7 linked regions of the Macaca fascicularis genome follow. The protein of the gene in region 4 interacts with the protein of the main gene of each other region in a biochemical or structural test. Links are inferred from orthologs where the notes say so. Each region holds a gene or a part of one and is shown on either strand. Other genes may lie near its edges.

Evidence for each region.
Region 1: the proteins of SNCA (region 4) and SIAH1 form a complex in vitro, tested with the Homo sapiens proteins (3 studies listed by BioGRID, with this or other methods). The link is inferred for Macaca fascicularis from reciprocal best matches to the Homo sapiens genes SNCA and SIAH1.
Region 2: the proteins of SNCA (region 4) and GBA1 form a complex in vitro, tested with the Homo sapiens proteins (2 studies listed by BioGRID). The link is inferred for Macaca fascicularis from reciprocal best matches to the Homo sapiens genes SNCA and GBA1.
Region 3: the proteins of SNCA (region 4) and YOD1 form a complex in vitro, tested with the Homo sapiens proteins (2 studies listed by BioGRID, with this or other methods). The link is inferred for Macaca fascicularis from reciprocal best matches to the Homo sapiens genes SNCA and YOD1.
Region 5: the proteins of SNCA (region 4) and STUB1 form a complex in vitro, tested with the Homo sapiens proteins (2 studies listed by BioGRID, with this or other methods). The link is inferred for Macaca fascicularis from reciprocal best matches to the Homo sapiens genes SNCA and STUB1.
Region 6: the proteins of SNCA (region 4) and APOE form a complex in vitro, tested with the Homo sapiens proteins (2 studies listed by BioGRID and IntAct). The link is inferred for Macaca fascicularis from reciprocal best matches to the Homo sapiens genes SNCA and APOE.
Region 7: of the proteins of SNCA (region 4) and PLK2, one has a biochemical effect on the other in vitro, tested with the Homo sapiens proteins (2 studies listed by BioGRID). The link is inferred for Macaca fascicularis from reciprocal best matches to the Homo sapiens genes SNCA and PLK2.

Annotation. Positions count from the first base shown.
Region 1 is NC_088394.1:44,266,633-44,269,517, reverse strand, and holds the end of SIAH1 (E3 ubiquitin-protein ligase SIAH1), read left to right. Parts: intron 1-460; coding exon 461-1,311; coding exon of another isoform or gene 1,312-1,414; 3' UTR 1,415-2,385; downstream 2,386-2,885. Other genes in the region: LONP2 (lon protease homolog 2, peroxisomal), read right to left, coding at 1,295-1,414. UniProt on the Homo sapiens protein: E3 ubiquitin-protein ligase that mediates ubiquitination and subsequent proteasomal degradation of target proteins.
Region 2 is NC_088375.1:105,901,645-105,905,144, reverse strand, and holds part of GBA1 (lysosomal acid glucosylceramidase), read right to left. Parts: intron 2,667-3,500; coding exon 2,442-2,666; intron 1,740-2,441; coding exon 1,576-1,739; intron 1,211-1,575; coding exon 1,094-1,210; intron 1,000-1,093; coding exon 894-999; 3' UTR 241-893; coding exon of another isoform or gene 26-240; 3' UTR 1-25. Other genes in the region: metaxin-1-like, read left to right, coding at 26-240. UniProt on the Homo sapiens protein: Glucosylceramidase that catalyzes, within the lysosomal compartment, the hydrolysis of glucosylceramides/GlcCers (such as beta-D-glucosyl-(1<->1')-N-acylsphing-4-enine) into free ceramides (such as N-acylsphing-4-enine) and glucose.
Region 3 is NC_088375.1:64,875,947-64,880,208, forward strand, and holds the start of YOD1 (ubiquitin thioesterase OTU1), read right to left. Parts: upstream 2,801-4,262; 5' UTR 2,634-2,800; coding exon 2,291-2,633; intron 1,348-2,290; coding exon of another isoform or gene 1,325-1,347; exon of another isoform or gene 1,322-1,324; coding exon 618-1,321; 3' UTR 1-617. UniProt on the Homo sapiens protein: Hydrolase that can remove conjugated ubiquitin from proteins and participates in endoplasmic reticulum-associated degradation (ERAD) for misfolded lumenal proteins.
Region 4 is NC_088379.1:95,364,118-95,367,617, reverse strand, and holds part of SNCA (alpha-synuclein), read left to right. Parts: intron 1-2,151; coding exon 2,152-2,294; intron 2,295-3,500. UniProt on the Homo sapiens protein: Neuronal protein that plays several roles in synaptic activity such as regulation of synaptic vesicle trafficking and subsequent neurotransmitter release.
Region 5 is NC_088394.1:1,434,256-1,438,548, reverse strand, and holds STUB1 (E3 ubiquitin-protein ligase CHIP), read right to left. Parts: upstream 2,801-4,293; 5' UTR 2,679-2,800; coding exon 2,520-2,678; intron 2,176-2,519; exon of another isoform or gene 2,034-2,175; coding exon 1,835-2,033; intron 1,748-1,834; coding exon 1,582-1,747; intron 1,529-1,581; exon of another isoform or gene 1,390-1,528; coding exon 1,302-1,389; exon of another isoform or gene 1,163-1,301; coding exon 1,106-1,162; exon of another isoform or gene 1,019-1,105; coding exon 695-1,018; 3' UTR 435-694; downstream 1-434. UniProt on the Homo sapiens protein: E3 ubiquitin-protein ligase which targets misfolded chaperone substrates towards proteasomal degradation.
Region 6 is NC_088393.1:52,938,337-52,942,296, reverse strand, and holds the start of APOE (apolipoprotein E), read right to left. Parts: upstream 2,801-3,960; 5' UTR 2,755-2,800; intron 1,984-2,754; 5' UTR 1,961-1,983; coding exon 1,918-1,960; intron 477-1,917; coding exon 284-476; intron 1-283. UniProt on the Homo sapiens protein: APOE is an apolipoprotein, a protein associating with lipid particles, that mainly functions in lipoprotein-mediated lipid transport between organs via the plasma and interstitial fluids.
Region 7 is NC_088380.1:63,914,523-63,918,562, forward strand, and holds the start of PLK2 (serine/threonine-protein kinase PLK2), read right to left. Parts: upstream 2,801-4,040; 5' UTR 2,674-2,800; coding exon 2,404-2,673; intron 1,799-2,403; coding exon 1,691-1,798; intron 1,548-1,690; coding exon 1,431-1,547; intron 1,236-1,430; coding exon 1,106-1,235; intron 877-1,105; coding exon 789-876; intron 291-788; coding exon 195-290; intron 92-194; coding exon 1-91.

The sequences.
Region 1 (2,885 bases), on a different chromosome or scaffold from region 4:
TTTATCCAGGACTTCACCTGTAACTCCCTATACCTATCAATAGCTGACTCCAAATTAGAAAGAAATAAGAGTAAGGGAGTCTCAGGGAGAGAGTCCTAGCAAAACGGATTCGATTAAACTTCAGTTCCTTGTATAGTTTCTCTAGTTGTTTATGGTCCATCTTCTATTTTAGCATTTATTATTCCATGTAGTCTATCCAAAGACGATTAAGGGAGTTCCAAATGTTTTCCGGAATATTTTGAAAAGAGAGCTTATCCAGTGTACAGATCCTAATAAAGTGCACATTCAGTGTAATTTTATTTTTTAGTATGTTACTTTTTAAATTCTATTTATTTTTCTTTCTCTTTTGCTCAGTAAATTTTGCATGAAACTTTAAGTACTTCTGGCATGTAAACATTATTTGTAAAATAAGTCATGGTTATAATTATTTTTCTCCTGCCTCCTTATGTATTTATTTCAGAAATGAGCCGTCAGACTGCTACAGCATTACCTACCGGTACCTCGAAGTGTCCACCATCCCAGAGGGTACCTGCCCTGACTGGCACAACTGCATCCAACAATGACTTGGCGAGTCTTTTTGAGTGTCCAGTCTGCTTTGACTATGTGTTACCACCCATTCTTCAATGTCAGAGTGGCCATCTTGTTTGTAGCAACTGTCGCCCAAAGCTCACATGTTGTCCAACTTGCCGGGGCCCTTTGGGATCCATTCGCAACTTGGCTATGGAGAAAGTGGCTAATTCAGTACTTTTCCCCTGTAAATATGCCTCTTCTGGATGTGAAATAACTCTGCCACACACAGAAAAAGCAGACCACGAAGAGCTCTGTGAGTTTAGGCCTTATTCCTGTCCGTGCCCTGGTGCTTCCTGTAAATGGCAAGGCTCTTTGGATGCTGTAATGCCCCATCTGATGCATCAGCATAAGTCCATTACAACCCTACAGGGAGAGGATATAGTTTTCCTTGCTACAGACATTAATCTTCCTGGTGCTGTTGACTGGGTGATGATGCAGTCCTGTTTTGGCTTTCACTTCATGTTAGTCTTGGAGAAACAGGAAAAATACGATGGTCACCAGCAGTTCTTTGCAATTGTACAGCTGATAGGAACACGCAAGCAAGCTGAAAATTTTGCTTACCGACTTGAGCTAAATGGTCACAGGCGACGATTGACTTGGGAAGCGACTCCTCGATCTATTCATGAAGGAATTGCAACAGCCATTATGAATAGCGACTGCCTAGTCTTTGACACCAGCATTGCACAGCTTTTTGCAGAAAATGGCAATTTAGGCATCAATGTAACTATTTCCATGTGTTGAAATGGCAATCAAACATTTTCTGGCCAGTGTTTAAAACTTCAGTTTCACAGAAAATAAGGCACCCATCTGCCTGCCAACCTAAAATTCTTTTGGTAGGTGGAAGCTAGACACATGAAGGTAAATGAAAGGAAAGGCTGTTAAATACAGGAAACAGTTGCATGTAGTAACACTAATATATTTAAAAATAAGTCAACAGTAAACCACTGAAAAAATATATGTATATACACCCAAGATGGGCATCTTTTGTATTAAGAAAGGAAGCATTGTAAAATAATTCTGAGTTTTGTGTTTGTTGTAGATTGATTGTATTGTTGAAAAATAGTTATTTTGTTTTGTTTTTGCGTGGGAGTGTGTGCGTGCGTGGGTGTGTGCGTGTTTGGGTTTTTCTCCTTTAACTGACAAGCCATCTTGAGTGGTCATGGGCCACTGCTTTTCCCCTTTGTGAGTCAATACATAGTGCTGCTGTGTGCTTTTTTGTGTGTGTATTTGCTAATTTTTATTAATTTTAGTTTTTCATTAAATAAATTTGACTTTCCTTTCTGTAATTCAGGTTTTTCTTCACTTTTTTTGTACCATTTTAAAGTTAGTGTCTTTTGATATGCATACTTGTTATGGTAAAAGTTTGTAACATGTGTTCAATATTTTCTTTTCCCCCATTAATCAGTTCATTAGAAATATTTTAAAATCAGCTACTTTGTGAAGCTATGAGTTCCAGAAAGTAAAGGTGACATCGGAAAAATGATCAAAAGCTATTTAAAGCATCTGTAAGATGGTCTCTCTCTTTCTCTCTTCTACGGATGAGTCACACCTTTGAGCTTAATCTTTGAAAGGTTAGAGAATAAATTGATTTTTATAAGTACTGCAAATCAGGCTTTTGTTTCCTTTTTCAAATATCTTGGATAAATCACATGTTTAAAATTTGTTCTTGTATTTATTGGTTTTGCAAAAGAAGGCATCGTCATGCACAGTATTTGTAATTAAAAGCAAATCATTTGTTTAAAAAGGCAGTTTGCAAAAAAATGTTTTTGGTCTTTTATAATTCTCATTAAAAGAATTTCTGGCAAATTAAAAAAATCTTACTGTGTCTGCTTTAGCTCTAAGTTTGATAAAATCCAAAGTTATTTTCCTGTTTCATTCCGTACTTTAATTATATAGCAGAAAGCTGTGTGTTGTCATTTTTAAGTGTGGTAGAGTTATACTCTAAATCACAGCAAATAACTGGGTATATGGCTTCTGGATTACAGTCTTTCCCATGCTCTGCCCCTCTTGCCCACATTTTGATTCTTACAACTGTCAGGAGAATGACTAAAATGCTGACCACTTTTCACCTCTTTAAAAAAGCACAATGAAATAATAAATTTACTATTTCATAGCCTAGTGGTTAAGAGCCTTGGTTCTGCAGCCAGACTTCAGGCACCTAAGTGCCAGTCTCGGCTCTACCCCACTAACCAGCTGTGTGACCTTGGGCCCCAGTTTCCTAATGTGTAAAGTGGGGTTAAATTATGGTAGCTACTTAAAAAGTTTTAATGGGGTACAGGTATGTTACCTCAAACAGTGCTTTGTTCATATCAGCA
Region 2 (3,500 bases), on a different chromosome or scaffold from region 4:
CTCACCTTCCTTCCTTGACCCTCAGCTGAGGTACCACCGCCACGCCAGACACCAGCAGGCCCAGAGACTGAGGAGGAGCCATACCGGCGCCGGAACCAGATCTTATCTGTGCTGGCAGGACTGGCAGCCATGGTGGGCTACGCCTTGCTCAGCGGCATTGTCTCCATCCAGCGGGCAACGCCTGCTCGGGCCCCAGGCACCCGGGCCCTGGGCATGGCTGAGGAGGATGAAGAGGAATGATTTGTCCTCACGCTCCCAGGACTGGTTTTTCTACTCTCGTGCATTCCAGAGGCCCCCGTGCCTCCTCTTTGTTGGTACAGCCGGACACGGGGTGCTGCCCCCCAGAATAAAGCCACTCACGCTGACTGGGCTCAAACATTTTCTCCTTTAAGAGCTGCCATTTTTCCTGGCTAGTCCCACAGGAACCATCTGGCTGCCTGGGCACACCTGCTGCTGCTTTAAGGCTTCTGCCCTGATGCTGACACTGCTGCTCCACGGGCCCAGTTCTGCATCTCCAGGAAACACAGTCTCCAGTTTTGGGCCTAGCTTTCCTAGTCTCTTCTTTTCCTTACCCTCACCCCTCATCTTGTGTTTGTACAACAGTGAGCTCACTCTAGGCCTGGGCCCAGGCCCAGTTTCCAAAGCAAGCAGCACACAGTGCACGTTCACATAAGCATGGGGGCTGGGGGGACACTGGGGCTTACTGGTCTTTTTCTAGGGGCCTCCAGCCCCTGGCAATACCTAGAGGGGAAAGTGAATCACCCAAACCACTGCCCTTGGGCTTATGTCGCTGTAAGCGCACCCTGGCCCTGCTGTGCCCTCTTTAGCCACAGACAGCGTGTGAGCTGACTCTGTCCTTTTAATGCCCAGGCTGAGCTTGAGTATCCACTCCATCACTGCCGACGCCACAGGTAGGTGTGAATGGAGTAGCCAGGTGAGATCGTCTCCAGGAAGCCCACGGCAGGATCCTTGATGGTAAGAGGCACATCCTTAGAGGAGCTAGGGAGTGGGGAGGAGAAGCTAAGAGTGTGATCCTGCCAAGGCCCCCGACCCTGTCTTCAGCCCACTTCCCAGACCCCACTGTTGCCCTCACCGGTTTAGCACGACCACAACGGCAGAGCCATCGGGATGCATCAGTGCCACTGTGTCCAGGTCGTTCTTCTGACTGGCAACCAGCCCCACTCTCTGGGAGCCCTCAGGAATGAACTTGCTGAATGTGGGAACAGATGGTCAGAGTCCCTCGGGGTACCGCCCATGAAACTTTCATCTAAGAAGTCACCCACCCGCATACCCACCCCATAACTCCTGCAGAAGCTCTGCCCTGGGTCTCTAGACCTGGAGCCATGCTGCTGGGCACTGACCCTGCTTTTCTACATCGCAGTCCAGCCTCAGGCACTGGGGTTGTCTGTTGCTAGTCACTTCCTGCCTCCATGGTGCAAAAGGGGATGGGTGTGCCTCTCCCGAGGTTCCACCCTAAACACCTTCCTGCTCCCTCATGGTGTAGAGTGATGTAAGCCATCTGATGTAGGAGATGATAAGCCTGATATGGAATGGGGGTGCCCGCCCTCCACTCACCTGAAGTGACCAAGGTGGTAGAACATGGGCTGTTTGTAAAACGTGTCCTTGGTGATGTCTACAATGACGGGACTGTCGACAAAATTACGCACCCAATTGGGTCCTCCTTCGGGGTTCAGGGCGAGGTTCCAGTCGGTCCAGCCAACCACATGGTACAGGAGGTTCTAGGGTAAGGACAAAGGCAAAGAGACAAAGGCTCAACACTGGGGGTCCCCAGAGACTGTAGGTAAGGGTCACATGAGGGAGAAGTGGCTGTGGGTAGCTCAGCCCTGTGAGGGGCACATTACTTAGCTGCTAAGGAGTTGGGGGTGTGAAGATCGAGGCATCTCAAGGGGATCTGAGAAGTCTGAGGCAAGTGCAAGTGCGTCAGTATTTGCAAAAGGGGCTATGAGCCGGGCGTGGTGGCTCACGCCTGTAATCCTAGCGCTTTGGGCGGCTGAGGTGGGCAGATCACAAGGTCAGGAGATCGAGACCATCCTGGCTAACACGGTGAAACCCCGTCTCTACTAAAAATACAAAAAAATTAGCCAGTCGTGGTGGTAGGCACCTGTAGTCCCAGCTACTCGGGAGGCTGAGGCAGGAGAATGACGTGAACCCGGGCGGCGGAGCTTGCAATGAGCCGAGATCGTGCCACTGCACTCCAGCCTGGGCGACAGAGCCAAACTTTGTCTCAAAAAAAAAAAAAAAGGGGCAATGAGGTGTGCAGACCTGTGAAGGAAAGGCAAGACAGGGAATCATGGTTCCCCAGTTGCCCAAAAGGGCAGGCTAGCTGGGCAAAGCTGGACAGGAAAGGTCTGTCAGTCTTTGGTGAGACTACTAAGGGGTCTGGGGTGTGCTTTGCAGGAAGGCAGACTGGGGTGGCTTACCGTGATGATGCTGTGGCTGTACTGCATCCCTCGATCCCAGGAGCCTAGCCGCACACTCTGCTCCCAGAACTTGGAGCCCACACAGGCCTCTGAGGCAAAGAGCATGGTGTTGGGGAACAGGCGGTGTGTCTCCCCTAGGGTGGCTTTGGCTGGAGCCAGAAAGTCCAGGTACCAATGTACAGCAATGCCATGAACATACTTAGCTGCCTCTGGGTCTGTCAGTACCTGCAAAGGAAGAGCAAGTGACCCTGGACCTTACACACAGGCTTCTGGAACTTTCAATTCCTCTTGTAGGAATTCTGGCAATGGGTGTTGGGAAGAATGCAACTAGAGAGGTTTGGGGAGATATTTTGTTTTGTTTTTGAGACAGGATATCACTCCGTCACTCAGGCTGGAGTACAGTGGCACAATCACAGCTCACTGCAGCCTTGACTTCCTAGGGTCAATTGATGCTCCTGCATTAGCCTCCTGAGTAGCTGGGACTACATGGGTGCCACACCCAGCTAATCTCTCTGTGTGTGTGTGTGTGTGTGTGTGTGTGTGTGTGTGTGTGTATATACATATATAGTTTTTGGTTTTTTTGTAGAGATGGGATTTCACTATGTTTCCCAGGCTGGTCTTGAATTTCTTAGGTTCAAGTGATCCACCCACCTTGGCCTCCCAAAGTGCTGAGATTACAGACATGCGCCAACGCCCCGAGCCTAGAGAGGTTTTTTTTGTTTTTTTTTTTTTGAGATGGAGTCTCAGTCGCCAAGACTGGAGTACAGGCTGGTCTTGAATTTCTTAGGTTCAAGTGATCCACCCACCTTGGCCTCCCAAAGTGCTGAGATTACAGACATGCGCCAACGCCCCGAGCCTAGAGAGGTTTTTTTTGTTTTTTTTTTTTTGAGATGGAGTCTCAGTCGCCAAGACTGGAGTACAGTGGCACAATCTCATCTCACCACAACTGCCATCTCCCAGGTTCAACTGATTCTCCCTTCTCAGCCTCCCGAGTAGCTGGGATTACAGGCACCCACCATCATGCCCAGATAATTTTTTTTTTTTTTAAATTTTAGTAGA
Region 3 (4,262 bases), on a different chromosome or scaffold from region 4:
GCACAATCAGTTCCTGTTTTGTGATAACATTCTCAAGGATGAGACTCATCCCTGTAAAAATTGCTTGTGATGTACTTATCAGTGGTTAAGCACACATTTATAAAGTATACCAAATTGCAATATAAAATCAGTTTGGACAATTCTGAGTATCTTCATTTGATGAATCAATTCATAATTTAGAAACTTAACTGATTCAGAGTTTTTAAAAAGACTCGGTTACTGGAGACACTGTGGTAAATGTCCAGTGGACTCACAGGAGGCCTTCCACATTACCCAAAATGTGATGCTTTCTTCTACAAGTTAAAGCTGCTGGGTGCTAGTTTATAATACTCAATCTCAATCTTCAGGTCAGTGTCAGTAGGTGGCAAGGATCACCTATTCTGTCACTCCAGCAGAAAGAGGCATGTATGTACAGTTTACCACTGTAGACACACATCTGTAAACTTGCACACTAATTTTAATCTTAACAAGGAATTTCAGTGTCTTAGTGGTTTTAAGTCAAAAGGATGGTTCAAGCATTGTGTCCTTTGTTCTTTAGGGTTACGATAGCTTATTGGAAAACCCAGAGCCTTCTGGATCTGTGAGGTAGTAGACTTCAACCCTCATTCATGCATAGATCACACTTCTCCAAAGTTGGTATGGCCTGTCTCCTTGGCATGTTCCCTTGCTTCTGCTTGTCCAGTTAATCCTTTCTGACATACCATGCATCTCAGGGTGAAGCGGTTGACATCAGTAAACTGTCTCCTTCTTCTAGCTTCATCTGCTAATTCCAGTGCTTGTACAAGAACAATATCATCATTAGAGGAGAAAATGGTCAGAGGAGGTGTATCTGGATCAGGGAAGTTACGCTGAAGTGGATCATAGTGGATGCCATCATAAATAAGCAGAACCCTTTTAGTATATCCTGCATCTTCCCCAAAACGATCAATTCTTACTGTCTGTGTATCCACTACACATATTTCACATTGGTAAAACTTGGACAAAATCGATATCTCTATTGCTCCTCCCCAAGTGTCATCCCTTTTGATCCAGTCACAGTACTCTTGATTTGTTTTTCCCAGTATTGCCTCACTATAGAAGTCCGGATCGCTTGCTACAATTTGTGCTATGAGGCGTCTCATCTCAGGGGCACAAGCTGGATTCAAGACTCCTCCTTCGACGACATAGTACACACTGGTAAAGAGGCAAGAATTGTCTGCTGGGACCACGGTTCTGGTAAGCACAGGCAAAGTTTCCCTGACGTAACTAGAAGCACCACGTTTAGTAAATGCAGGTGAACTTTTGGGCCTGGTTTGGTCTTCTTCAACGATCAGCATGTCACCTGTTAAAAATAAAACAAATCCCGATCTGCAGAGAAATTATAGAAGAAACCGAGTGTTCACTAGCCAAGTCTGTAAATTACAAACTGAAGGAGTTAAAGCATAAACTGGGGTTATTAAAGAGAAGACAGCTTTGCAAATAAGTTACCAGTAACAATCTTTGTTCACTGAATTTTCATAAAGATGAAAAAAGAACAAAGAACAAAGACACTTCAGGTTGCATCCCAATTTAGTGAAGCGGTCTGGAGTAAACAACTTTAAGCTTACCTAAAAAGATACATTTCAAAAACAAAATTTCCTTTCCTTATACAGTATTTTACAGAAGGTGCTCACTACAGAGTAGGCCGCTAGGGGGGTCTCTTCTCTGGGAACTTATCTACTCTGAGTGTTTACAGCGTCCTTGATACAGCAACTGAAAGCTTTTAATTATAAACACTGATGTTTAAGTTTTGATATGGCACAAAAATAACTGCTACTGGTTAGAAATTGAAAGGGCTTTCAGTGGGTGTTTAAAAGCTGACTCGAAAATGAGTATGCCTGTCAAACGAAGTATCTATGAAGGGGATTGCAAAAATGAACCAAGAAAAAAAAAATCCTGCATCCTTGAGATCTCATCGATGATACAGGGGAAAAGAGACATAAGGACAGAGAAAATAGGCCCTACTTCTTCATATTTTTGTGGACGCCGACGGAAAACAAAATGGGATAGTTTCAAAGCCGAGCAGAAAGCGGATTGGGGAAGGGGGACTTCAAGCCTTTGGGTTCCCTTTCAACCCTGTGTCAAGACAAGGAGTTGCTAGACACTTGCCCCGGCCCCCGTCAGAGTTTTCTGTTCTTTGATCTATCCTCGCCCCTGGCCTCAAAGTCCCCCGCCGACCCACAGCCACCTTGCCTTGACTAGTGTTCTGTTCTCTCTCACGCCCCTCTCCGTCCTCCCGGGACTTTCCCTGGCCCCTGCCCTGATTCCTTACCAGATTGGATGGGCAAGTCTTCCAGAATGGTATCCCCATTGCTGAGATCCAGGCACTCGGGAGGGTATCCGACGAGGATTCGCTGACCGCCGGGGGCGATCCCGGTGATGGCGGCAATTTGGCTCTGGAGTTCCCGCACCCGGGTCCGGCTGGACAGCCCCTGCAAAACATGGGTGCCGTCCTTGGCCTTGCAGCGGAGCCGCCACATCGTGTCGGTCCGGCTGCCCACAGGCCAGACACCCGCGGGACCAGCTTTGGTCCCGGCAGCCGGTTGAGCGATGCCGCCGGGGCAACTAGGCGCCGGGTGGACTCCAAAATGGCGACCTTTAGCGGGGCCAAACATCGCGAGAAGTTGCGGGTTGTTACAGTTCTCGCGACGCTTCGGCGCGGCTTCTGCCTTAAGCGCGAACTCTTTTAAAGTGACAACTGATTTTTCCCCCACCCTCAGAACGAAGATGTAAACCTCCGTATTCCTAAAGGACAACGGGTCTTGCTACTTGTAGAGCGAGTGAGGTGCCCTCCGCGTCGGTAGCATATATGCTTAAGAAAAGAGGGCGGGGGAAGGAGTTCCTTAATGAAGCTCTGGAGCTTGGAATGTGACCTTGCACTTAGTGAGGTCGGAAATTATTAAATTGGGGCTTCCACGCTACACCCAGACTACATTAGGAGAAACAGAATCATAGTTCACAACGCAAACGAATGCCAGGAATGGTCACTGAGTCAAAGGACCAGTCAAAAACAATTATACTTGTGACTAGACTCGTGGCTGCATTAAACATTGACTCATTGAGGTTCCAGGGGCCAAAGGACTGGCCTTTCTGCCTCCCTGGGACTGCTTGAAAACGTCTATTTGCCACATCAGAAAGCACAGTATGAGGTCAGCATCTGGGCCCAGGGCAGCTGCCTCATTCAGGTGGTGGCAGTGTAAGGAGGAGTCATGTAGTGCGTGTCATCAGATTCCAGTTCAGTTCCTGGGCATGCAAATATGAAGACTTCATTCCTGCCTTCATTGTAACAAGTATTGATTGCAGTTGGGAGACAGGGTGGGGTGTGAGACACACAGCCACTGAATTTCAAAGCAACGTGATAATGCTAGATTATGTGTACCTTTCAACCGTGTGTGCCTAGAACCCAGGACTGTGAATCGCAAATAAAAAATGTTCAACAAATACTTGCTGAAAGAATAAAGACAGAGTTGTATAGACATAGAGAGGGCAACTAGAGCACTCTGGGAGTTGTAAAAAGTCTCAAAGAGGAGATAACTGTTTGAACTTTTGGAAGAATGAGTTTAATTCCCAGGCGAAGGAGGAATAAAGACATCCCTGAATTTATATGTCTATTTTCCAAGAAATCTATACTCATTGTTCTTTATCCAGCCGGTATCCAGACAGCAAGTCCCACTTGTCTAGAGTGTGTTTATCAAGCATCAAACGGGCCCACTGGGGCAACTATGAAAAGTGTAGTTCACTTGGTCCAAACTCACCTCCACTGTAAAAGACTTTGCTTCTGAATAAATGATATGTAATGTTTCTATCTTTTCACATCTTTCATGACTCAATTTTTTTCTGCTGGTGCAATTTTCCTCCTTGGTTCTTCAAGACACTACAACAGATGATACAGCCTGAGTTGGGAGGTAGGTAGGAGGGAAGGTAGGAGCGGTTAGAAGTCCACTGGGGTGGCCGGGCGCGGTGGCTCACACCTGTAATCCCAGCACTTTGGGAGGCCGAGGCGGGTGAATCACCCGAGGTCAGAAGTTCGAGACCAGCCTCATCAATATGGAGAAATCCTGTCTCTACTAAAAATACAAAATAAGGGGGGCGTAGTGGCGCATGCCTGTAATCCTAGATACTCGGAGGCTGGAGAATCGCTTGAACCCGGGAGGCAAAGGTTGCGGTGAGCCAAGATCGTGCCATTTCTCTCCAGCCTGGGCAACAAGAGCAAAACTCCATCTCAAAAAAAGAAAAAAAAAATT
Region 4 (3,500 bases):
TTCAAGGTCAGCAGAGACCCTACTAGAGAAACCAGTTCTACAGAAATGTTTTTAAATGTGTCGATGATTGCTACCTGTATACTCTGTTATTTTGTCATGTAACCATTTTATTTATTATTATAATAATAAAAGAGTGAAATTATAATAATGTGCAGAGTACATTTTACTGTGCAGTGTATTGCATTAAAACTAGATTAAAATTTATACATCTATAAAAGGTTATCTAGATATTATAAAATTTATGGCTGGATCTGTAAAAAATTCAAAACCTATTTTTAATCTTGCTTCAAGATTTTATAACAAGAAAATGTTCATTTGAAGCAAAATTTTCAATTCTCGTCCTTGAAAACGAAAAAAATGACAACTTGAAACACATAATTGACTATTTTTAAAGGATCAACATTTCAGAAATGTTTTAAAACATAAAATTTTCAGTACAGCTTTTCACTGGCATTTAAATCGAACTTTGAATTGTAAATAGCTCTTACTCTTAAGGAGACATCAGCCATATCCTTAGAAATGGCACGGAGTTGGTAGGTAGTTGTACAAAATTCTAGCCTAAAAGACAAGTAGGGAGCAACAATACTGTGGACCCTTTCTGGTCTTGGGCTGTGTGGCTATGTCAGGCTTCCCCACATTGCCTGAACTAAGGAGAAAGCCTCTTGTCCTTACAGGCCCCTTAGCTTCTGTGACTTACATAGTCTATTTGAAAATGAATTGCTTTGTCCACACCATTTAACTATTGGCTTCTTCAACTGGTGAGATGAAACCTATACAATAATCATGTGACTAGCACGAAAGAGCTGACATGGTGTAACTCCTCTCAGACTGAGGCTTATCTGGGGAGTACAAATCATATCAAGAAAATGTGCCTTCATTTCCTTAGATGAGTGTCCCCATCCTCCACTCTCCTCCACTGTTCTCCTCTCTGCTTCTATGATACCAACTTTTTTTTTTTTTCTTTAGATTCCACATGAGTGAGATTATGTTGTGTTTGCCTTTCTGTTTCTGGCTTATTTCACTGAACAAGAAAATTTTTGACATGAAATTAAATTTCTGCCTATAAACTCAATTCAAACTGTTTACACTGTCTTCTCAAAAATGTTAACTTATTGTAATAAACCTACTGAATGACCGTATCACATTTTGTTTTGTGAAAACGAATTTTAAGGGTGCTCAATAGCCTCTTCATTTTCATACTGTCCAGCTCCTTTGCTCCTATTAAAATTACTGCAAGTTAGCTTTTAAGAACCCTATGTTTCACTACCTGAAGTTCTATAAAAAGATCCAAGTTCCTTCAAAACCATTTCTTATGCTGTCATTCATACATATGTGATAATACCGTGTCTGAACACACAGATAAGAAGTATGGGCTGGGTGCGGTGGGTCATGCCTGTAGTCCCAGCACTTTGGGAGGCCGAGGCAGGTGAACCACCTGAGGTTAGGAGTTCGAGACCAGCCTGGCCAACATGGTGAAACCCTGTTTCTACTAAAAATACAAAAAAAATTAGCCAGGCATGGTTATGGGCACCTGTAATCCCAGCTACTCAGGAGACTGCGGCAGGAGAATAGCTTGAACTCAGGAGGTGGGGATTGCAGTGAGCTGAGATTGTGCCATTGCACTCCAGCCTGGGCAACAAGAGTGAAACTCTATCTCAAATGAATGAATGAATGAATGAATGAATGAATGAATGAATGAATGAATAAATAAATAAATACAAGTATGTATTGTGTTGTTTAGAATGTGTGGTGGAAATGAACTTGCTGAGTGAGCTCAAAGGATTGGCACTGAATTGAAATAAAGAAATACTCATGTTGAGTCTGGTTCAACTATAACTGCACCTGTAAGAATTGCTTTCCTTAGTATAAAACAAATCCAAATCACTCATGGCTTTACATTCTGGATCATTAAACTTGAAGCACTTTTTAATACTGCATGACTTTAACAAAAATATCTTAGCCGAGATTCAATGTTTGGTTGAGCCACGCTCACTTGGACACCTTGGTTGCTTGTTTCTTCTGACCCCTCAGTTGTCTATGGCATGTGTAGATACAGGTGTATGGAAGTCGATGGCTAGTGGAAGTGGAATGATTTTAAGTCACTGTTATTCCACCACCCTTTAATCTGTTGTTGCTCTTGATTTGTACCAGTGGCTGAGAAGACCAAAGAGCAAGTGACAAATGTTGGAGGAGCGGTGGTGACGGGTGTGACAGCAGTAGCCCAGAAGACAGTGGAGGGAGCAGGGAACATTGCAGCAGCCACTGGCTTCATCAAAAAGGACCAGTTGGGCAAGGTACGGTGTGTACATTTTGTGCTACATTTATAAGCTGGTGAGATTATGGTTCATTTTCATGTGAGGCCTGGAGGCAGGAGCAGGACACTTACTGTGAGGAACAGCTACCTGACCCTCCCCTTGTGAAAATGTGCTACCTTTATATTGGTCTTGCTTGTTTCAGGCATTAACCCAGATAAATGCCATGCAAATTTTATAATTATCATGATTGTTTCAATTTCTAGAAGAAAGTTAATGAAATAAAAAATGTAGCAAAATGTCAAAGGAACAGTGACATTTCAAAAAGAATGAGGACTTTCATGTTAACTATAAGTCTTGGAATTTCTCTTCCTTGGAATAACAAATCTCTTTGTGCCTAATTTCTTAATTTCCAAAATAAAATTCTTTTACTTGATTTCTTTATAGTGACATCATCTCTTATTAAATGGCATATTTGCATATTACATAACAGTTCATTGCCAAATACATGTTTGTGAGAACTAAGAGGTTTAAAATATATACCAACCAGAGATCATAGTTTTGAGGTAGATTTTAAAATTCTGAGAAGAATTTTGACTGAATTTTTTTGACAAACATGGGGCACAAATAAGATTATACCAAAGATACTATAACTTTCATTTTAAATATGAAACTAATACGGTATGAGGTGTCAACAATGATGAAATTTTACAAATGTCACCACTACAACAGCAAAATGATTTTTGCTTTTTCCCTGTCTCCTTGCTATTTCTTGAATAAATCAAGCATACCCTTGCCCTGACACATTACTGGGGAGGCCTGCCTTAATCTATATAAAATTGGAGCCATTCTTCTCACCTCTGGTATTCTCAGTCTCCCTACTCTTTCTTTCTCCTTCCTTCCTACCTTCCTTCCTTCCTTCCTTCTTCCTTCCTTTTTCTTTCTTTCTTTTTTCCTTCCTTCCTTCCTTCTTCCTTCTCTCTTTTCCTTCCTTCCTTTCTTTCTCTTTCTTTCTTTCTTTCTTCCTTCCTTCCTTCCTTCCTTCCTTCCTTCCTTCCTTCCTTCCTTCCTTTCTTTCTTTCTTTCTTTCTTTCTTTCTTTCTTTCTTTCTCTTTCTTCCTTCCTTCCTTCCTTCCTTCCTCTTTCTCTTTCCCTTCCTTCCTTCTTTCCTTCCTTCCTTCCTTCCTTCCTTTGTTTTTCTTTCTTTCTTTGCCAAAGTGTTCTTCACCTTTAAATATAATAAATAAT
Region 5 (4,293 bases), on a different chromosome or scaffold from region 4:
TCTACGGCCGTAAGGTCAGCACAGGGTTGGGGTTGAGCCTTGGGGCTCGGTGACCAAAACAGGCAAGGGTGACGCTGCTGCTCCTGCCCCCAGCGCTGGTTCCTCTACCCACCTGAGAAGACACCAGAGTTCCACCCCAACAAGACCACGCTGGCCTGGCTCCGGGACACATATCCAGCCCTGCCACCGTCTGCACGGCCCCTGGAGTGTACCATCCGGGCTGGTGAGGTCAGTGGCTGGCAGGAGAGGGCCAGGCCAGGCCAGAGGCCCCCAGCTAATCTGTGCTGCACCCCTTTTCTCCACCAGGTGCTGTACTTCCCTGACCGCTGGTGGCATGCCACACTCAACCTTGACACCAGCGTCTTCATCTCCACCTTCCTCGGCTAGCCAAAGCAGCTGGCAGGCATGCCTGCCACACACCAGCACGTCCCATCTCGTGCTCATGGATTTTATTACACAGACAGTGTCGGCAGTGGCTTCAGCCCAGCCCACCCTCACCTGCTTTTCCAGCCCACAAAGGGGGACAATCATGGCCCAGCAAGAGCTATGCTGAGAGGGGGAATAGTCCAGAGCCCAACAGCAGAACTTGAACTTGGAAGGGGCCAGGGTGGCCAGCAACACAAACTATGTACAGGGGTGGAGGGCTTCCGCCCAGGGCTCTCCTGGACCAGGATGCTGGGCAGGGCAAGGCATCTCAGTAGTCCTCCACCCAGCCATTCTCAGAGATGAATGCGTCAATGACTTCCTTCATGGCCAGGTTGGGGATGAGCTGTTCCTGGGTCAGGGGGCTCCGGGTCACGGGGTCAAAATGACCCACGCGCTGCAGTGACAAGAAGGGCAGAGGGCAGTCAGTGGGCCCAGGACCATGCTGCTGGCCCTGCTCCCCCAGCCGCAGCCTCACCTGCAGGTGCTCCTCGATGTCCTTGCGGTCGTAGGTGATGCCACTGGGCGTGATGCACGGCTCCCGCATCAGCTCAAAGCTGATCTTACCACACAGGTAGTCGGGGATGTCACGCTTCTGTGGCACAGGGGCACACGATCAGAGGCTGGGAAGGGGCACTGCTCCAGCACCTGCCACCCACCGCAGCAAGTGACAGACACTCACCTTCCTCTTCTCGTCCACCTGAGAGAAGAGCTCGTCCATGTCTGCCATGTACTTGTCCTGTGAAGAGTTGAGCACTGCACTTGTGCGGGACACCCCACCTCCCTCCTCCATGGGGCACAGACCCAACACAAGGCGGGGATGCTCCCACGCCAGGTGCACACACACAGACCCACATGTGGGAGGGGGGCACCCTCACATGCTTAGCCTCAATGCAGGCCTGCTGGGCCCGGACGTGGCTGTCGTCCTCATCACCCTCGTGGTTCCGCTGGCACTCTTCCAGCTCCCTGGGGGTTGACCAGGAGCCAGTAAGAGATGGACCTGGCCAGATGTCTGACCACACCCCAACCTCAGGGCTAACATTCATGCTTCTTCCCCACGTTTTCTGCTCGCCAGTAAAACCTTCAATAAACGCTCATGTTGGTAGTTGGTGATTCAGAATTACCCCAAGACAGGGCGACCTGGGGTGAGGGTCCCACCTCTCACGCTCCGCGGCAATGAGCCTGGAGAGGTAGGAGTGCAGCTCGCTCTCCTGGTGGATGCGCCGCTCCTCGATGCTATTCCAGCGCTTCTTCTTCGCGATTCGAAGAGCGCTGGGGATGTCGTCCCCGAAGTTCAGCCGCTGCTCCTTGGCCAGGCTGTAAGCTGGGGAACGGGGGCTTCAGGTCACTCTCTGGCCAGTCCACCCGCCTGGCCCCAGGGGCCCCACAACCGGGCAGCTTGTCAGCCAACCTCGCTGCAGATTGGCGATGGCCTCATCATAGCTCTCCATCTCCAGCTGGCACTGCCCCAGGAAGAAGTGCGCCTTCACAGACTGCCCGTCCAGTTCCAGGGCGCGCCGGCAGTCGGCCAGGGCCTGCTCGTGCTGCTGCATCTTCAGGTAGCACAGGGCACGGTTGGTGTAATATACGGCCACCAGCGGGTTCCGGGTCTAGGGACCAAGGCCGGGCCAGCCGCATGAGGGTGTAGGCTCAGCGCGCCCCCTCTGTCCCACGGCCCGTCCCAGCTTCTGCGCTCTGGCTAGAATCAAGAAACTAGGCTTCTCAGTCGTCAAAGCCCCTGGATCCAAGGATCTGCAGACAGTGGAGTACTGGCTGAGCCTATCCGCTTGACTCCACTTGGTTTTGTAAAGTTTTCCAAATCTTTGGAGAGTCCAGGCTTTGGACCTGGGAGCCTCAAGGGGCGAGGGCCCCTGCCCTCCCCCCGACCCGGCCGGCCTCCATCCAGCATCCCACCCTCGTTCTCCGACACCCGGCGCTGGGCTCGGGAACCACGGCTGGGCTTTAGGAGCCCAGGACATGCCCCGCAGAGGAACCAGACCCTCGGTGGGGCCAGCCGGGCACGGGCCCGGCCCTCCCCGGCGCCGCCGCCGCCGCCGCCGCCGCCGCCGCCGCCCTTCCCGCGCGAGCGCACTCACGATCGCGCGGCCGTAGCAGGCCGCCGCCTCCGGGTACTTTCGGCCCACGAACAGACGGTTGCCCTGCTCCTTGAGCTCCTGCGCACTCGGGCTCTTCTCGGGGCTTCCGCCGCCAGCGCCCAGCCGCGCGCCGCCCTCCTTCTCCTCCTTGCCCTTCATGGCGCCGCGCGGCACGGCCTGGGCTGCGCTCCCAAGCTCCGCGCCTGGCGGCCCAGCGCCTGCAGCCCGAGCCCCGCAGCCCGAACCCGCGATCCTCTCGGGCCCGGCCCAGCTCCACCGCCGGAACTTCCGGCCGGGGGCGGGACCAGCGGGGACGCACGGGTGGGGGCGAGTGGGGCCGCGCGTGCGCCCAATCAGCCTGGACGGGGACGCTAGGCCCGCGGCGTCGGGGGCTGGGAGGAACACTCCGGTTCCCTCGCTCGGCGCTCTTAAGGGTCGGCGTTCGCGGAGGCCCTGGCCCGCCCTGCTGAGGCCTCTTCGGAACCGGCCTCGGCGGCGACCGCCACACACATTCGACTTTCCCAGTGAGATGCCTTGGTTCGCTGAGGGCGCACTCCCCCAACAGCCTGTCCCGACCACCTGGCGTTCCGCCCCCGCCGCAACGCGCAGAGACCCCTCCCCAAGCAGCGGGCCCCATCCAGAGGCCCTTCCCCCGGCAGCCAGCCCCGCCCCCAGCAGCCCGCCCCATCGGCAGACGCCCCGCCCCCAACAGGCCGCCCCACCCAGAGGCCCCGCCCCCAGCAGCCAGCCCCTACGCAGAAGCCCCGCCCCCAGCAGCCGGCCCCGCCCCCGGCAGCCGGCCCCGCCCCTCCGCGTGAACATAGTGGCTTCCCGCGCTGTTGGGTGTAAGGACCGCAGTCGCTGGGCCGCCATTCCGGAGCGCCATCGAGAGGTCCTACGGGTGCGCGCGGACCCCCGAGTGCGGCTGGAAGCCCTGGGCCGTTGGTAGAGTGGAAGGGGATAAAGGGATCGGTGGGCGAGCGTACCCTGTGGCCGGACCTCCCCTCACCGCCCTTCCCCAGGTATCGGGAGGAGTTGCCAGCGGCCATCAGGGGCAGAGCGGAGAGCATGTGACAGGGAGCTGGAGCGGCTGCTGGCCTGGAAGCTGGCGGCGAGGTGCGGCCCGCCTCGAGGGCGGGGCCTCCGTAGGGCGGGTCTTCATCGGGGCGTGGCATCGGCGGGGCGGGGCCTCCAGAGCGGGTCTTCGTGGGGGCGGGGCCTCCCTGTGGGTCCACCACGCCGGGCACCCTGACCTGGCTTCTCACAGCATCTGGTGACCACCAATCCCCCTGAGCTGGCTGTGCACTGTTCGACCACCACCTTCTGCCTCCTGCCAGATGTGGGGGCCGCGGTCACCCAGCTGTCTGCCCTCTGCGGTGTGGACCCACCACAGTCACAGCCTCAGGTGAGTTGGGTGGGCACGACTTGGGTACATAAGCGTCCTTGTCTGTGAAGCAGACAGTCTGGGCCCTTGTGTGTCTCTAGGACCAGGAGTCGGAGCCAGAGCTTGTCCTGATGGGGTGTCTGGCTGCTTCTCCTCGCTGCTCACAGCAGTCCTGGTGCCTGGAGCTCGAGATGGAGGCCTTCATGTCAGATGAGGCAGTGGTCACAGTGCCCGGCCTGCCGGCCCCACAGTACACCCTCAGGTACTACCTGCTGTACCTGGGCCAGGTTCAAGAGTGGGCCACAGCTCTGAGCCAAGGTGAACGAACTGTGTGTGGGCAGGCTGGGGTGGCCCGTGCCCCTGGGCCTGAGTCTGTGTGCTCCCCACCTA
Region 6 (3,960 bases), on a different chromosome or scaffold from region 4:
AGTGAGACCCCATCTCTCTGTCTCTATATAAAAGAGCTAGTGAAGGACAGAGACAGAGCCAGGACGAGTGTGAGAGGCTGAGTCAGAAGGGAAGAGGGAGAAACAGAACTGAGAGAGAGAATTCCAGAGAGCTAAAGCCAGGAGTCAGAAATGGGAAGAGGAAGCTAGAACCAGCAGAGACCCAGGACTCCCAAGACTTAGTGGCAGGGGCAGAATGAAACCTGGACCTGGGGAGGTATAGCCGCCCACCAGAAGGGTCAAGGGCCGGGATGGGGACACTCACGTCAGTTCCTGGGTGACCTGGGGGCTGAGCAGCTCCTCCTGCACCTGCTCAGACAGTGTCTGCACCCAGCGCAGGTAATCCCAAAAGCGACCCAGTGCCAGCTCCCAGGGCTGGCCGCTCTGCCCCTCAGCCTGCTGGCGAAGCTCGGGTTCCGTCTCTGGCTCCACCGGTTGCTCCACCTTGGCCTGGCATCCTGTGTGGAACAAGTTGAAGGTGGTTCAGGTTCCTTCTGACCCCGTCCAGGCACCTAGTACCTAGGGGCACACAGAAGGTGCTCCACAAATGCTGCTTTGGAGCCATGGTGGGCAGGGTGAGGGGGGAGTCTGTTTAATCACTTGAAAAGCGTTATTTATTTACAGACAGGGTCTTGCTCTGTCACCCAGGCTGGATTGCAGTGGCCTGAACGTGGTTCACTGCAACCTTGACCTTCTGGGCTCAAGCAATCCTCCTGCCTCAGCCTCCTGAGTAGCTGGGACCACAGGTGTGTGGCACCAGGCCTGGCTAATTTTTGTATTTTTAGTAGAGACAGAGTCTCACTATGTTGCCGAGTCTGGTGTTGAACTCCTGGGCTCAAGTGATCCTCCCACCTTGGCCTCCCAAAATGCTGGGATTACAGGGGTGAGCCACCGTGCCTAGCGGAAAAGCATGTATTGAGTGTCCTTGTGTGTCCCAGGCAGGGCTGTGTGGGGTGATGGAGAATAAAGATCACAGCTGTCCCGTGTCTGGTATTCTAAAGCAATGCATTAGAAGCCTCTTAACTCCCAGCTGGGCGCGGTGGCCCACGCCTGTAATCCCAGCACTTTGGGAGGTTGAAGCAGGCAGATCACCTGAGGTCAGGAGTTCCAGACCAGCCTGGCCAACATGGTGAAACCCCGTCTCTACTAAAAATACAAAAAAAGTTAGTCAGGTGTGGTGGCATGTTCCTGTAGTCCCAGCTACTCCGGAGGCTGAGGCAGGAGAATGGCATGAACCTGGGAGGGGGAGCTTGCAGTGAGCTGAGATCCTGCCACTGAACTCCAGCCTGGGAGCCACCGCACTCCAGCCTGGGCGACAGAGGGACTTCATCTCAAAACAAAACAAAAACAAACAAAAACTTCTAACTCCTATATTAAGGATGGGGAGGCCGGGCGCGGTGGCTCACGCCTGTAATTCCAGCACTTTGGGAGGCCAAGGCGGGCAGATCACGAGGTCAGGAGATAGAGACCATCCTGGATAATACAGTGAAACCCCTTCTCTACTCAAAGTACAAAAAATTAGCCGGGCATGGTGGCGGGCGCCTGTAGTCCCAGCTACTCGGGAGGCTGAGGCGGGAGAATAGCGTGAACCCGGGAGGCGGAGCTTGCAGTGAGCTGAGATTGTGCCACTGCACTCCAGCCGGGGCGACAGAGTGAGACTCTGGCTCAAAAAAAAAAAAAAAAAAAAGCGGGGGCAGGAAACCGAGGCTCACAGAGCGTCAAATCGCTGTTCTGAGCCAGAAAGCAGCATAGAAGCCTCAGACCTGGGCTTTCCCCTCAAGGGGAAGACAGACCAGCAGAAGAAGAGGGGGCCCGAGGTCTGCCTGAATGGGGCCAGGAGGTTGAGGTGAGGATGAGAGGGGGAGGAGCAGGGAAACCGAGCAAGCCCCGCCCCCATACCTGCCAGGAATGTGACCAGCAACGCAGCCCACAGAACCTTCATCTTCCTGCCTGTGATTGGCCAGTCTGGGGAGGGAGAAACAGTCAATCAACCGCCAGTGAGGACTCCTCCCACTCCCAGCCCGACCCCAACCCGGCCCCACCCCAGGTTAGCCTTCCAAGCCTAGTTCCATTATCTGCAACAGCCTAATCCTAGCACAAACAGTTACCAAGCCGCCCCCAACCCATTCCCTATTTAACTCCCTCCTGGTCTTCTCTTATTTCCCCATCCCCAGGTCGGCCTCCATAGTCAAAATTCCATCTTTCTCTCCCGGGGTTCAAATTCCACACCCCCTCCCCCTCCCCACCGCCGGTTCCATCTCAGTCCCAGTCTCGCATTCCTCATTCTCCCTTCACATTCTAAGCTCTAACCTCACATTTAAGCGCCGTTTTCCATTTATGAGCTAATTCAGTCCTCATTTTAAAGTTCTCCAATCGACGGCTAGCTACCGTGTCGCTGCCCCTGGCTTCCCTGTTATGGAGATCTGAGGACACTGGGGACACCCAGTAGGTGCTCGATAAATGACAGTGACAACTCGTGGGGGTCCTGCTGTGGCTTAGCTCCTAGTCCACATGCTCTGCCCACCCCACCTTCTAGCGGGTCGGGTCGTCTCTGCTGCCCAGCCCTTACCAGGTCCAGTCCCCTGCTGCTGGCCTCACCCCCGCTCCTCCTATCCCCAAGCCCGACCTCGAGTAGCTCTCCTGAGACTACCTGGAGGCCAGGGCTTCCCGAGGTCCCAGCTACATCTTTCTAGAGGCGCCTGAGCTCATCCCCGTGCCCCCGACTGCGCTTCTCACCGGCTCCTGGGGAAGGACGTCCTTCACCTCCGCTGGGGCTGAGTAGGACTCAAGGATCCCAGACTTGTCCAATTATAGGGCTCCCCCTGTCCCGCCCCCTCCTCCAGGGATAGGGCGGGCTGGGCCAGCCCCCAGTCACGAGGTGGGCTGTTCTCCCCCTGCCCCAGGCACAGCAGGGCAGAGGGAGGAGGTGGGGCATAGAGGCCTTTTGACCACCCCCCACAGTCCCCAGGAAGTGAGGACACCTCGCCCAGTAATCCAGACACCCTCCTCCATTCTGGGGGCCAAGCGTGGAAGGGGAATGTGCAGGCTGCCGCCCAGAGTCCTCCTTCCCTGACCCTGTCCTTTCCTGTGCCTGGATGAATGCAATCTGGAGAGGGGGCTGGGGATCTGGACTCCTAGATCCCAGAAAGAAAGTAGGGATAGGGGGCTGGACAGAAGTGGGATGGGAGGGGCTGGGCGCGGTAGCTCACGCCTGTAATCCCAGCACTTTGGGAGGCCACGGTGGGCGGAACACTTAAGGTCAGGAGTTTGAGACCAGCCTGGCCAACATGGTGAAACCCCATCACTACTAAAAATACAAAAATTAGCCAGGCGTGGTGGCGGGCGCATGTAATCCTAGCTACTTGGGAGGCTGAGGCAGGAGAATCACTTGAACCCAGGAGGTGGAAGTTACAGTGAGCCGAAGTCTCGCCACTGCACTCCAGCCTGAGCAAGAGTGATGCTTTCTAAAAAGAAAAACAAAAAAAGAAAAAGAAAAAAGAAAAGAAAGTGGGGCTAGGCGACTGGACAGAAGTGGGATGGGAGGGGGGTGGGAACAGTGTGGTGCATCTGCTAAAAGTCTAGGCTTTGCGAGTGGGACCTGGGTTTTAATCATAGCTTCCTCTTTGGTTGTGACCTTGAGCACAGGGGACCCACCCCTCCCCACGTGTAAAATGAGATTCCAGCACCTCCCCCTGGCTGCCACAGGCATTGTGGTTTCCAGGGTCTTGAAGCTGTGCTTCTGGGTTAAGGTTAGGATTCTGGAGTCAAACTGCCAGGGCTTGAATCCTGACTCTGCCAGTTGCCAGCTGTGTGACCTTGGGCAAATGACTTGTCCTCTCTGAGCATCGGGTTCCTTTGCTCATCAGACTGGGAAAGCAGTGACACGGATATGTTTGGTGACAAGCTAACGTGTATGGAGCACGGAGGACAGCCTTGGCACAG
Region 7 (4,040 bases), on a different chromosome or scaffold from region 4:
CGGCATTGTATACCTTGCTTCCCTTATGCACCTATAAGTTTCTTTGAGATTTGTAGTTTCAAATGGGGGCCTCCCTAGTAACATTGTATACCTGTGTGCAAAGAAACACATCTTTAGCAATGGTCATAAAGCAACTCAAGTGTTAAAATTTAAATCCAAATTTGCTTTTTAATTATTCTGCTGCATTTACTTACATGACACAGCCCAGGGCCCAAATGTCTGATTCACAGCCATGTCCTTGTTTGTTCAGGACTTCAGGAGAGAGATAGTTCGGGGTACCACATATCGTTCTGGAAAGATGAAATATTGAGATCGTGTTAGGAATTACTCCACTATTTAAACTTGGTTCTCTTGACGTGACTTGATGGGAGACAAAATCTTAAACAAAATCTTAATATCTACAGTGAATTTCTATTTGGAAACATTTGACTTTTAGCATCTGAACAATTGAGATCTGACCAAGTGAGTTTTGGTAATTTTTTACAGTGCACACACATTGTTTTAGCCCACATGCAACGTGTGGTTAACCAAATAAAACCAGGGACGTCGTGGCATTTTATACATTTCAGGCCAAGAAAAGACTTCATTGACTGCTTTCATAATCAATTTAGAGGCACAGCGTGCTCTGTCTAGTCCATAGTGGGCATTCAGTAAGTATTTCTTTAAATTAACATTGCTATGATTTATAGATGTTATCACTGGACCTCTGAAACATGAAATGCAAAACAGCGAAGGCATGTTTGGTCTCTCCACAAAACCCTACTAGGATGCATCTTTCGGACTCTTACCTCCTTCTGTGTTCCAAGGGTTCTAGCCTGGCTGCCAAACCGAAGTCCCCAACTTTTAGTTCCATGGCTTCATTAATAAAAAAGTTCCCTAGATGATAAACAAAAAAAAAAAAAGTGAATCCTTTTGAAAATGCATTCTAAACAAGTACACATACATCCACTTTGGAGCCAGGCAGCCAATTGTTATATGAAAGACGCCCATTCAAAAGCAAGATTGCAGACGCTAGATCCCAATTAAGAACATTCATATGTAAAAATAGACAGAGAGAGAAAAGGAACTCTAACACAAAACTCAGCTTTTGGCATCAAGGACTTACCTAGTTTGAGATCTCTGTGCAAGATTTCTTGTTCATGAAGGTATTTCAGTCCAGACACAATCTGCCTGAGGTAGTATCGAACTTCTGGCTCTGTCAACACCTTTCTTGCTTTCAAAATATGAGCCATTGACTAGGAAGAGAAGAAGGAAAAAAGAGAATGTGTCAAACAGTTATCAAAATCACTGGTTTCCCTTTGCAGGATATGCAATGAAAGTTAACTTTGCAGTGTAAATACTGCCACAGCTAAAATACCAGATAAAATACTTTTTGAATACCGTGTTAATTCGGGGTAAGTAAATGTTCTCAAATAGGAGTTGACACTTACCCTTCTACTGCAGTATTCCAAGAGAATGTAAATGTTTTCTTTGTCCTCAAAGTAGTGGTAAAACTGCACTACATGCTTATGATGAAGAATTCTGTGAAGCTCTATTTCTTTGTCAATCTAAATGAAAAAGCAAGGCAAGGCTTATTAGCCTCCAGTCACCTCGGAAAAGCCAGTGATTACACATGCAGAAGACATTTTCCTAACAGGGAAGGGCCATCCCTGCACACAAAGAAAATACTTTACTCAAGAGTCATACACACCTTTTCCCTTTGATGAGGTTTAGCTACTCTGCTGTGAGGAATAATTTTTGCGGCGTAGACTTTGTTATTTGTCAAATCTGTCATCTCGTAACATTTTGCAAAGCCACCCTGAAAAGAAACAAAGCCGAGACGGAATTGAGTATGGCACAAAAATGGACGGCAGATATTTAAAATAAATAAATAAATGGGAAGAAAGAAAAGCAAAAAAAAAAAATTGAGGAATGGAGAAGGGTGGTCAGAGGAAGGCATTCGACTTCGTTAAAGCTCCCTCATGAAGAGAAACGCATTGCTGGAAACAGCAACTTCAAACAGTTTTTTTCCTATAATATAAAGGGGAGCTTTATGGAGGGAGTTGGAGCGGGGAGACATGAAAAATAATGTCTGATGAGACTTGTTAGGAAAATTCCCTCGGAGCAGATGGAGGGAGAGAGGTCTGATACAGAAAGCCCTCGCTTCCAGACTCAAGATGCATTTCTCTGGGCTGCGGGGTGGCACACAGTTGTGAGGCTAAGGCAGGCAAAGCCGATCCCCAGCGCTGCCGGTGCACAAAAGCCAGGCAGCAGGTGAGGAGCCCACCTCGCGCTGGGATCTGACCCCCGAAAAACCTGGAAGCGGCGGGCGCGGGACCCCGCGGGCCTGCCCGGCTTGGGGTCGCCCGGACAGACCTCCCGCCCGCCAGCCCGCCCGGCAGCCCGGCGCCCTCCGCTTGTCACCTTTCCCAGCACTTTGCCCCGGCAGTAGCGCTTCCCCGTCGTGGGGTCGACGATAATCCGCGAGATCTCGGGCCCCGAGTGCGAATGGTGGTGATGGTGGTGCGGGGCCGCCGGGGGCACCTGCGCCTGGGACTGAGGTGGCTGCGATTCCTCGGGGGGCTGCGGCGGCCGCTTCTTCTTCGAGTCCCCTCCGCAACCCTTGCCCAGCGCCTGCTCGCACATTTTGGTGCTGGCGGCTGGCTGGTAGGTGATAGTCCGCAAAAGCTCCATGATAGCCTTGCCGGCCCGCACTGCCCACTGCCACCCCCTAGGCGCGGTCACACGTCCGAGTCGGCCGTGGCCCTCGCACCCCTGCCTCCGGTGCCAACGCGCACCTTACACCCCGGTCCACTTGTGCGAGTGAGAAGGCTCGGCGAAGTCTTATATACTGGGCGGCGGGAAGGGGGCGGAGACTCGATACGCGACACCGCGACACGGCCGACGCCCCGCCCCACGGCCTGCCGAGCGCGCTTGGCCGGGAAGCAGGTCCTGTCCTGCCACCTAGGTCTCGCTTCGGAGCGGAGCCGCGCGCCTCGAACGCCGGCCGCCGGGAACTCTCGCAGCCACGGGAAGGCCTTCAGGGCCGTCTGTGGGCCCTGCTGCCACGTTCTTCGAAGGCTCTGAGCCTCAGTTTAGAAAACAGAATCCCGAGGGCCGATGCCTGGCCCCACCCCCGCCCCAGCCGCCTGGTGTCAGGGCAGTGCCGTGACCGGAGCGAGTTGGGCGCGGGTGTAGACGCAGTCCCTCCCCCGCACAGCCCTTCCCCGCCGCCCCACGACCCGGCGCCTCTTGTGTCAAGGTATCAGGGTGCCCGGAGCCCGCCGCACGGGCACGCGAGGCCTCCTCCGGCCGTGTGACAAGGCCCCGCGCGTGACGCGCTCGTTGGTGTCTAGCTGGGGCAGTGCCGAGAGGCCGTGCGGGTGAAAGGCCGGAATTCGGGGAGCCGGGCATTCGAGCCCATCGCCGCATCGCGCTGGGGCAGACTCGGGCCCGCACGCTGGGATCCCGGGCCGATCGGCCAACAGTGCCAGTGCTGGCCCCCGCCCATCCCCCTAGAGCGAGCCTCTGTCCGAGGTCAGCCCCTGAACCTTGGAGAACGAGGTCGACGCCTCGGCAAGGCGTCCTCCGCCGGTAGCCCGATGATTGGAAAGCAAGGGCGCCATCTTGTGGAATGTTCCGGAAGTGCCGTTAGGTGTCAAGTGGGCAGCGGTTGACGACAGTGGGGCTTTGACAGTTACTGGTACTAAAAATCGATGCCGATTGTGAGTTTGCAGAGTCATCTATGACTTCTTCCGAATGCATCTGTTGAGATGGCTCATGAACTGCCCTGGTTCCTGGAGAGTCAATCCGAGACTTTCTGGGGGTAGGGGGATTGGTAGGATGAAGAGAGCGCAGGCCAGTGAGTGCAAACACGGCTTAGTTTCCAATTTCCAGATTTTACTGTGCAGTTTGACCTAGGAACACGTTTTTTTTGTTTGTTTTGTTTTCTTGTTCTAATTACGATAGCGTAACATTTGAGGACTGTGCAGTATTTTGAAATGCCTTATTTAATCCTACAACAATTCTGAGTGAGTAATATTGTAAGGAAGGAAAAATAA